Nothobranchius furzeri: one gene and its partner. The protein of the gene in region 2 purifies or fractionates together with the protein of the main gene of each other region. This does not show direct contact. Links are inferred from orthologs where the notes say so. Each region holds a gene or a part of one and is shown on either strand. Other genes may lie near its edges.

Region 1 (4,368 bases), on a different chromosome or scaffold from region 2:
TGTGTGTGTGTGTGTGTGTGTGTGTCAGAAAATACAAAGTTGATTTTATTCAGGTCTCTCTGGAAAAGTCAAGTTTTATATTAATTATTAACATTATATTTCAGCTCAAGTTGCCTTGAATGAAAAATGCTCATAAATAACAATCTTTGCTGCTTTTGGTCTGGGTCCTCTGACCTCTGTATCAGTTGTACAATGAGATGTGACCTTGCCAAAAAGAGAAAAGGTGCCTGACCTCCTGCTGAATCCTGTCCTGTTGAGCAATGATGGCCTCATCATATGCAAGGCAGTTCACTCCTGGGAAAAACACATATGTGTAAGGTTTTAAATAACCGCTCTGTATTGGTGAAACAAAGACATTTCTTATGGGATGTGGATGACACATTTCACCCCTGTAACATCAAAACCATGATTTATTCATTTTGTTGTTATTAAACACAAGAAGGTAACAGTTAGCCATGCTTTACTTGTTTGTTGTGGATATTTGTAGTTAAAGGGACTTTAGGGAGTTTTGAATTTTTATGCTCGTGATTGCCCCCTCTGGCCAAAAGCGTAATGGCAGCTTCAATAGTAGGCTCGTGTACGAGGTGCGCATGCTGTACGTGCACACTCCTTAACGAAAATAACAGCTGAGACGAAGCTCTGTGAAGCTGTGTGTGTGTGTGTGTGTGTGTGTGTGTCGGAGGACAGGAGAACGTGCAGCTAATTAATTAAATAATTTGGTTCTGTACTTTTCTCTTCAGCACAGCCAACAAAGGTCAGTCCTCCTGCATGCTCAGATCATTCCATTCCTTTACTTGAAAAATTGTTCCAAAATGAAAGTTGAACCCACATCTTTTTTCATCTGTGAATTCAATGCCGTTCGGCGAGTCTCAGATAAAAATTTGGGCATTTTACTGTAAAAAAATATATCATTGTAAAAACGAAATTCTGAAACAACCATGTTCACGTCGAGAATCGAACCGGGTCTTCTGCACAAAAGTCCAAAAATTTGCTAGGCGAGCTAAATCGCCAGTGGTGTCTACTGCGTCTGTAACATTTATATCCTTGATGACAGCTGAAACAACGTTCAAAGAACGGTTCGGAGGGCGATGCCTGAGCGTGAACGCGCATGAAGCAGCCTGCTCGACCCGAGCATCTCTCTTTTTCTGTGATTTTACAGAAAAACAGGCAATCACAGTAAAAATGCCAGGGCTCATTCTACAGGACCAGGGCATTGCAGGAGAATGTATGAAGAAGACATTTATTATTTCTATACATGTTTTGACTGTCACACTTCCATAATGCCCCTTTAATGTAAGTTTCTATTTAAAAAATGTTTTATAGGAACCAACTGACTGGGTTTGCACAACAGATCAAATATGTGTAATAATAAAGAGAAACAAACCCTTTCAGTGTTACTAAACTTGTTAAACTAAAAAAAATATTAAAATTTGTGTTTGATGAAAAGGTTAGACAGGTTTAAACTGGTTACAGAACCAGAAGATTTCCCCTTAACATTTGACCGTGCAACTATTTCAGGACTGGGTTCATTCTAACGTGGTCTCGCTGCCATAACAGTAACAAACTTCACAAAGGGACCAAATGTATTATAAACTACAAATGAACTAAAGCAAACTCCAATATCATACAACAGTGTGTATTTTTATATTGTAGTGTCTCTGGACAACTTGTGTGATGGTGCTTCTTGTAGTTTTATAAACTGTGTGATATATATATATATATATATATATATATATATATATATATATATAATTAATTAAATTAAATCGGCTCTACTGAAGAAATTTATCGGCCAAAGCTAATATAAAAAAATTGTAAATATTGACCCAATATATTATCCTATCACTAAGTTACTTTTATTATAAATGAATCTGAACCCGCAATGCACACAGTCTTTTTTAACTAATGCTGATTAATGATTATTCAGTTAGAGACACAAAGTTGCACCTGATTCATTAAATTGGTATAACATCCAATTTTATTGTGTTCTGTTTTATAAAGTTTTACACTCGACTACAACTCTGTCACTTTCATGAGTCCACACAGACCATGTCTCAGGTATCAGGACAATGCACGACATGTTAAATCAATTGTAATATGTGACATTGTCTCTGGTACACACGACAATGAATCTGATGTTTGAAACGACGCATAGTTTCGTCATTCTGGAACAAATTCTCTGAAAACCGATAGCTGAGTTAATGAAGCAATGAAAGGGGGAATTAAGAACTTCATTTTCTTAGATTGAGAAATTCTTCTACCCCAGTGACCATGAAAGAACATGAATACAAGTTGATCCAGTCCAGAACACCGCAGCTAATCTTGGCTAGCATCGAAAACAAAACGTATTTTGAACGCAAAAAAACGTCACTGTTCTCCAAAGATAAATTAAGCTTATATATTCTGCCTTAACACTGAGCTCATACATCTGATATTAATTTAAGTATAAAACCGCGTAACTGTCATGTTTTATTTCTCTGTTAATCACTTAACAACCGTCGTTTTTCTTTGTGTTGCAGCGGCTGCTTGCTAGCGTTAGCTAAGCAGTTCTGGCCCTTAAGGTGGAATGTCAGCCACCTTAAACTCGGAGAGGGGTGGATTAAAGCGGGCTGCGGACTAACATAAACGTGGGCTTCACCTGACAGGGAAATGACAGCGCAGGTGAGAGAATATTGGATGGTTCAAATCATTTCGTTACCTTCCACCTCTCCCTGTGATGATTCCTGCTGTTCCTCCGCCATCTTAGCTGTGCAGATCTGCTTCCTCCTCCCTCGTGACCTCAGACGTTACACACTTCCGAGCGGAAAACACAACAAATAAAATCCAATTATTCGATCAACAGTCGAGTAAAGCAACGAGGGCGTCGGTTTTCGTGAATAAAGCAGAAAGACCGTTATTGTTGTTAAAGTTGGTAAAGTGTTGCCTGAAAAATGATTGTTTGAAATATACAAAAGGGTGATTCTCTGAATTTGGTGTTCTTTGCGTCCCACAGGTTTACCACAAGGTTTTTCATATTAAATAAAGTACAAATGGAAAGGTTTATGTTTCTCTGTATTATGATGCACAAACATTGTTTAAAAATCATGTTTTAAGACTTAAGAGTAGAAGTCAGCCAAGAGCACGTCCCCTATGACCAAAGATGCTTTATCCGTTATTGTAGCCTTTCTGGTCGGGTTTTGTTTTGCCATTCTCCTTCAACCCAACAGAAAATATCTGAGAAAAATATATAAATTATCTGTGAAATTGTGCAATTGAATCAATTACCCAGTTTTTTAATTTTATTATTATTTTAAAAAAAAATTAATGTTCAAGATATTTCAATACAAGCTAAACATGGAACAAGATACAAAGTATCTATAAAATTATGGTAAAACACAAGAATAACACAGAAAGAATGACAAAAAGAATACAAAAAACCAGAGAGCATATTAATCAAATGTCATATTAAGTTTGTCCATAATGCACATAGTTTTAATAGCTTTTTTTATTTTCAAGAGTACTAATTGTAGTGATGTATGTAATTAGTTCTTTGTGAAATTTACCATTGCCTTTTATGTATGTGAAACTTCCCCAACAGGAGCAGAAGTTGTACGAGACATGAAACATCCTTATTAATGTCCTCACTCATCTACACACACAGCCATGGAAATGAGTCAGCATGCAGGGAAGAAGTGCAGCAGCTGGAGGACTGGTGTACAGCTAACAACCTGACCCTGAACACCAACATAACCAAAGAAAGCATCATTGACCCAAGACGGAAAAAAGGTGGAGCACCAGTGACTCACAATAAATGGAGAGTGTGTGAAGAGGATCTCACAGTTCATGTTCCTGGGCACAAACAAATCAGAGGACCTCACATGGACACACAACACCAACTGTCTGATAAAGAAGGCACAAAAACGGCTATACTTCCTGAGGGCCCTCAGGAAGACCAACCTGCCATAAAAAGTACTGGTGTCATTTCATCACTGCTGCTGTTAATCACTGAGTGTGCTGATTAACAGCATCCTGGTGTGGTACAGCAGCAGCTCTGCAGCTGACAGGAAGGCCCTGCAGAGATTAATCAAAACTAGAGAAAATAACACACCTGCCTGCCCTGGATGACATCTTCACCTCTCGCTGCCTTCGAAAAACCACAAACATCCTAAAGGACTCAACCCACCCTGCTAACCATCTCTTCAAACTTCTTCCATCTGGCTAACGACACGGGGCAATAAAAACACACGCCACCAGGCTGTGACACAGCACACCACAATAATAGATCAGACCTACCAAAAATCCAGTAATGGCACCTCTGATTAAATGCATGAAGTTGAACTGAATGGCTGAAATCAAGAGGTAACTGCTTCCAGTTCAGCTTGCGATGGT
Region 2 (4,602 bases):
ATATATATATATATATATATATATATATATATATATATATATATATATAAATCCCTTTTTGTTACTCAGTGGAGAAGAATCGGTGTCATGGTAGCAATTAAATTAACTACAGGAGCAAAAAGGACAAAAGAGTAATTTTTAAAAGATTCAAAATACTTAAAGCTTGAAAAATGAGATTATTGCATATACAAATTTAGAAACACATTTATATTGGTAACATTTCTAAACAACTAATATATTTTGTTGCTTGCAATTTTATTTTTATTTTTAAGTTTGTATTCTGTACCAAAGCTCTAATTGTTAGAAAGGAAAGAACGAAAACATTTTATGTAGTTTTCATGATAAAAATCACGAGGCGCTTCACAAAAACAAACCCAAATAAATTAAAGTTTAAAAGAGATTTCAAAAAATGATCAAAAAATGAGAAAAATTAAACTTGTGATTTATAAAAATGTAAGAAAAGGGAGAGAGGCAAATCAGTGGATCCCGGGAAAGGCGGAATAAGAGCAGAATAAGGAAAGTGTGGTGATGAAGATCACACCGAAGCCTGAACAGGTGAGTCTTCAGCGGTCTTTTAAAGGAGACCACTGAGTCCACTGATCTCAGGCTCGGGGGGTAGAGGTCCAGAGTCTGGGGGCCACAGCAGCAGATGATTTTTCACCTTTGGTCTTTAGCCTGGTGCTGCACAACCAGTAGGCTTTGATCACTGGACCTCAGGGACCTGCTGGGGGTGTAGGGACTGAGAAGATCGTCAATGTAGGATGGTGCTTGTCCATGTAAGGCCCTATAGACCAGAACCAGGATCTTGAAATGAACCCTGAAGCTGACTGGCAGCCAGTGAAGCTGGAGGAGAAGCGGGGTGATGTGGGTGTGTTTGGAGGACTTGGTCAGAAGCCGAGCACAGGCGTTCTGAACCACCTGTAGACGGTTCAGGGAGGTTCTGCTCAGACACGTGAAAAGAGAGTTACAGTAGTCTAAGCGTGAGGAGATGAAGGTGTGGAGAACTGTCTCAAGTTCAGAGCGGGACAGAATGGGACTCAGCTTAGCAACGTTCCTGAGATGGAAGAAGGAAGAGCGAACAAGAGAACTGACATGAGAATCCAGGGTGAGAGCTGGGTCAAAGGTCACACCAAGATTCCTGGGAGATGGTTTGGTGTGAGAAGCAAGCTGACCAAGAGAGTCTCTGACTTTGGGAACCAGCTTGTCTGGGGCACAGATGCAGATCTCAGTCTTATCTTCATTCAGCTGAAGAAAGCTCCCACCATCCAGGTTTTGATAGTCTAAGCAGGTGTGTAACAGCTGCAGCTTAGACATCTCATTGGGCTTAAAGGAGATGTACAGTTGGATGTCATCTGCGAAAAGATGGTGGGAGAGTCCTTTAAAGGAGCTCAGTACAGAACCTTGTGGGACACCATGGGCGAGGAAGGTAGAGGAGGACCTAAACTTGGAGACGGCCACAGAGAAGGAACGTTCAGCCAGATGAGTGCTTTGTCCTCTGTACATCATAGTGGAAAAAACACTTAGCTTTCATAACTTTTATGTATTCAAAATATTTAACTGCACAATATTGGAGTGTTGAGGACAACAAATAATTAATAAAAATGTGGAATGTTTTATTTTATGTCCACAGAAAAGCATTGTTTCAAGGAGAAATTGCAGCATTCACGGGCTTATACAGAAACACTCCACCGGGTGGCGCTGTCGCCTTTAGCTTTAAACAAGCAAAGAAGAACTCTTCTTCTACTAGTTTATTTACTTTTCATCTCCCTGAAGGCTATCGCATGTTTTTATACATTCTGCGCTTGTTTTGAGCCTGAAATTTGAGGATTTTACAAAAGTGACGCACATTTTTATTTATGCAGTTTATGAAAATTAACTGAAGCGCGTGAACAACCAAAGTTATGGAGGGGGAGGCACCGGAGGAGCTCCTGATGAAGCAGCACCGCAAAGAGAAGAAGGACCTCCAAGGTTAGCAACGTTTACCTGCTTTTAATCTGAGTTTACCTCATTTACATCCTCTGTCCGGAGCATTTAGCCCTCCACGAGCGCGCGTCACCAATTAGACCAGTTGATATTTAGACTTGGATAGCGGAATAACAATAAAAGTAACACACATAACCAAAAATCAGCTAGAAAAGTAAAAATTATGCTAATCGTAATTAGGAAAAGAAAACTACGAAATAAATGCTGAAAACTGAAATGATCACTTTGCAAAATAAACAAAAAAAAAGACAAAAACGCATTTATAATCAAATGGTCAATTATTTTAAACGATGATATAATTAACACGTGCTTAGAAAATGCAAGTAGATCTGCCCAGCAGGAAGACGAACAAAAGGACTCAAATTTACCATATCTTGAGATGTTTTAATGATTCATTCACACAGATTTGCAACTGCAGGCATGTACCAATGTTTTTATTTGATAATTTTGCTGTTTATTGACACCGATCTGATTTTAATCTGCACCTTCCTCTTTGACAACGTTGCATATCTAACCGTGTGTGTCGTTTTCTCACGCTTCACATGTTTGTGTTTTGTTTTCAGCTAAAATCCAGAGTATGAAGAATGCGGTGCCCAAAAACGACAAGAAGAGAAGGAAGCAGCTGACCGAGGAGATCGGGAAACTGGAAGCCGACCTGAATCGGAAACACGAGGAGGAAATCAGGCAGCTCAGATCTACAGCTGACTCGAAGGTGATCGCTGCAGCGGGATAGAAAATGTGCCTTTACTCTGACTGAGTTTCAGACTTCTTCTAACAATCCTGTCAGGTGGAGGAGGTGGCAAACGGGGTGGAGACCATGAAGGTGGAAGGTGGAGGAGAGGAAGAGGTGAAGCAGCCGCGAGTCACTAAAGCTCAGAAACGGAGGGTGAGAAGTCTAATTCACTAGAAACTTTCCATTTTTGATATGTAAAAGTGGCATTTAGTGGATTAAATAGCGATTATTATCGGTTGTTGTTTTGTTGATGCCTTCCAGGACAAGAAGTCTGCCCAGGAGAAGGAACGCGAGAGCAGGATAGCAGAGGCAGAGGTGGAGAACCTGCAGGGCATGAGGCACCAGGAGGGATTGAAACTGGCTCAAAAATTGGCCCAAAAAAAGCTTCAGATCAAGGAGATTTCCTCCGACGGTCACTGCATGTACCGCGCCATCGAAGATCAGCGGGCTCGCCACGCTCAGGTGACCATCTGCACCAATTTTGTTTCAACCCTGCTTCAACACACCTGATTTCAGTCAGCAGGTGATTAGCAGGCTTCTGCAGAGCCTGATGAGCTGCTGCACAGGTGACTCAACCACTGAATCAGAAATGTTGGCGCAAAGACATGCAGGATACCTGACAGTCATGTTTTTGCACCGTGGGAGGAAGCCGGAGTACCCGGAGAGAGCCCACGCATGCACAGGGAGAACACGCAACCCCAGGTTGGGGTGTGAACCCATGCCCTCCTTCTCAGCTCTAACCACTGCACCACTGTGCAGCCCCGTTTGCACAAATACTGTCTGGAATTGCGACAGAGAGAAAACTTTATGTACGGGGCAGCAGTAGCTCAGGTGGTAGAGTGGGTTGCCTCGTGATGGTTCGATTCCAGCTCCCGCCAGGGGTATTCTGCTGCTGTGTCCTTGGGCAAGACACTTCACAGACCTTGCCTGTGTTAGTGGTGGTCAGAGGGGCCGACGGCGTCAAATGGCAGCCTCGCCTCTGTCAGACATCCCCAGGTCGGCTGTGGCTACAAAGTAGCTTACCATCACTGGCAGTGTGTGAAAGCGTCTTCGAGTGTCCTGAAAAGCGCTTTGTAAGTTCAACACATTATTATTTAGTTTGTGTTTCCCTCCTCTGGTTTAGTCAGGATTGAGCATGACGGTGAAGGAGCTCCGTTCCAGAACAGCTGAGCATATGAGGGAGAATGTCGACGACTTCCTGCCGTTCCTCACTAATCCCGACACCGGTGACGTGCTTACAGCAGGTCAGATCAAATCTGTCGTTACTGGTGTGTGTGTGTGTGTGTGTGAGTGTGTGTGTGTGTGTGTGTGTGTGTGTGTGCACGTTTACTTTTGGATTCTCTTTGCATTCAGATGAGTTTGAGAAGTACTGCAGTGACGTGGAGCACACCGCTGCTTGGGGTGGGCAGCTGGAGGTGAGTTTCTCTGTTGTTTTTTTTATTTGTTTACTGTTTTTTTTCTCTCCCTTCATTCTTAATAATTAGATTTTTCTCTCTTCAGCTTCGAGCTCTGACCCAGGTTCTACACTCACCAATAGAAGTGATCCAGTCTGACTCCCCGACTATAAGGATCGGGGAAGAATTTGACGGAGAACTCATCACTCTGATGTAGGATTGTTTAGAAAGTGTCAATCCACTATTCTTTTACTTCGTATCTAAAGAACAAACACGTTTTATTGCAGAAATTCGCTGCAAGTTTTGAGTCTACAAATATAATCTTTTATGCAAAAGCTCTGCGATAATCTTTTCTAACCTGCTAACGGTGGCGACACATTCCAGCAGCGAGTTTGTCCGCCGGCTACGTTTGAAACGTGATAGCATCTTGGCTATCACACCGGTTGTACAGCAGGTGCTGACAGACACGTTTTCAACATAAATACATTCAGC

Evidence for each region.
Region 1: the proteins of otud6b (region 2) and otub1b fractionate together in Homo sapiens (co-fractionation; 4 studies listed by BioGRID and IntAct, with this or other methods). This does not show direct contact. The link is inferred for Nothobranchius furzeri from reciprocal best matches to the Homo sapiens genes OTUD6B and OTUB1.

The regions. Positions count from the first base shown.
Region 1 is NC_091743.1:88,837,872-88,842,239, forward strand, and holds the start of otub1b (ubiquitin thioesterase OTUB1b), read right to left. Parts: upstream 2,971-4,368; 5' UTR 2,742-2,970; coding exon 2,699-2,741; intron 295-2,698; coding exon 233-294; intron 1-232. UniProt on the Homo sapiens protein: Hydrolase that can specifically remove 'Lys-48'-linked conjugated ubiquitin from proteins and plays an important regulatory role at the level of protein turnover by preventing degradation.
Region 2 is NC_091759.1:19,537,486-19,542,087, reverse strand, and holds the start of otud6b (deubiquitinase OTUD6B), read left to right. Parts: upstream 1-1,752; 5' UTR 1,753-1,901; coding exon 1,902-1,968; intron 1,969-2,546; coding exon 2,547-2,695; intron 2,696-2,770; coding exon 2,771-2,869; intron 2,870-2,977; coding exon 2,978-3,178; intron 3,179-3,839; coding exon 3,840-3,960; intron 3,961-4,069; coding exon 4,070-4,131; intron 4,132-4,216; coding exon 4,217-4,323; intron 4,324-4,602.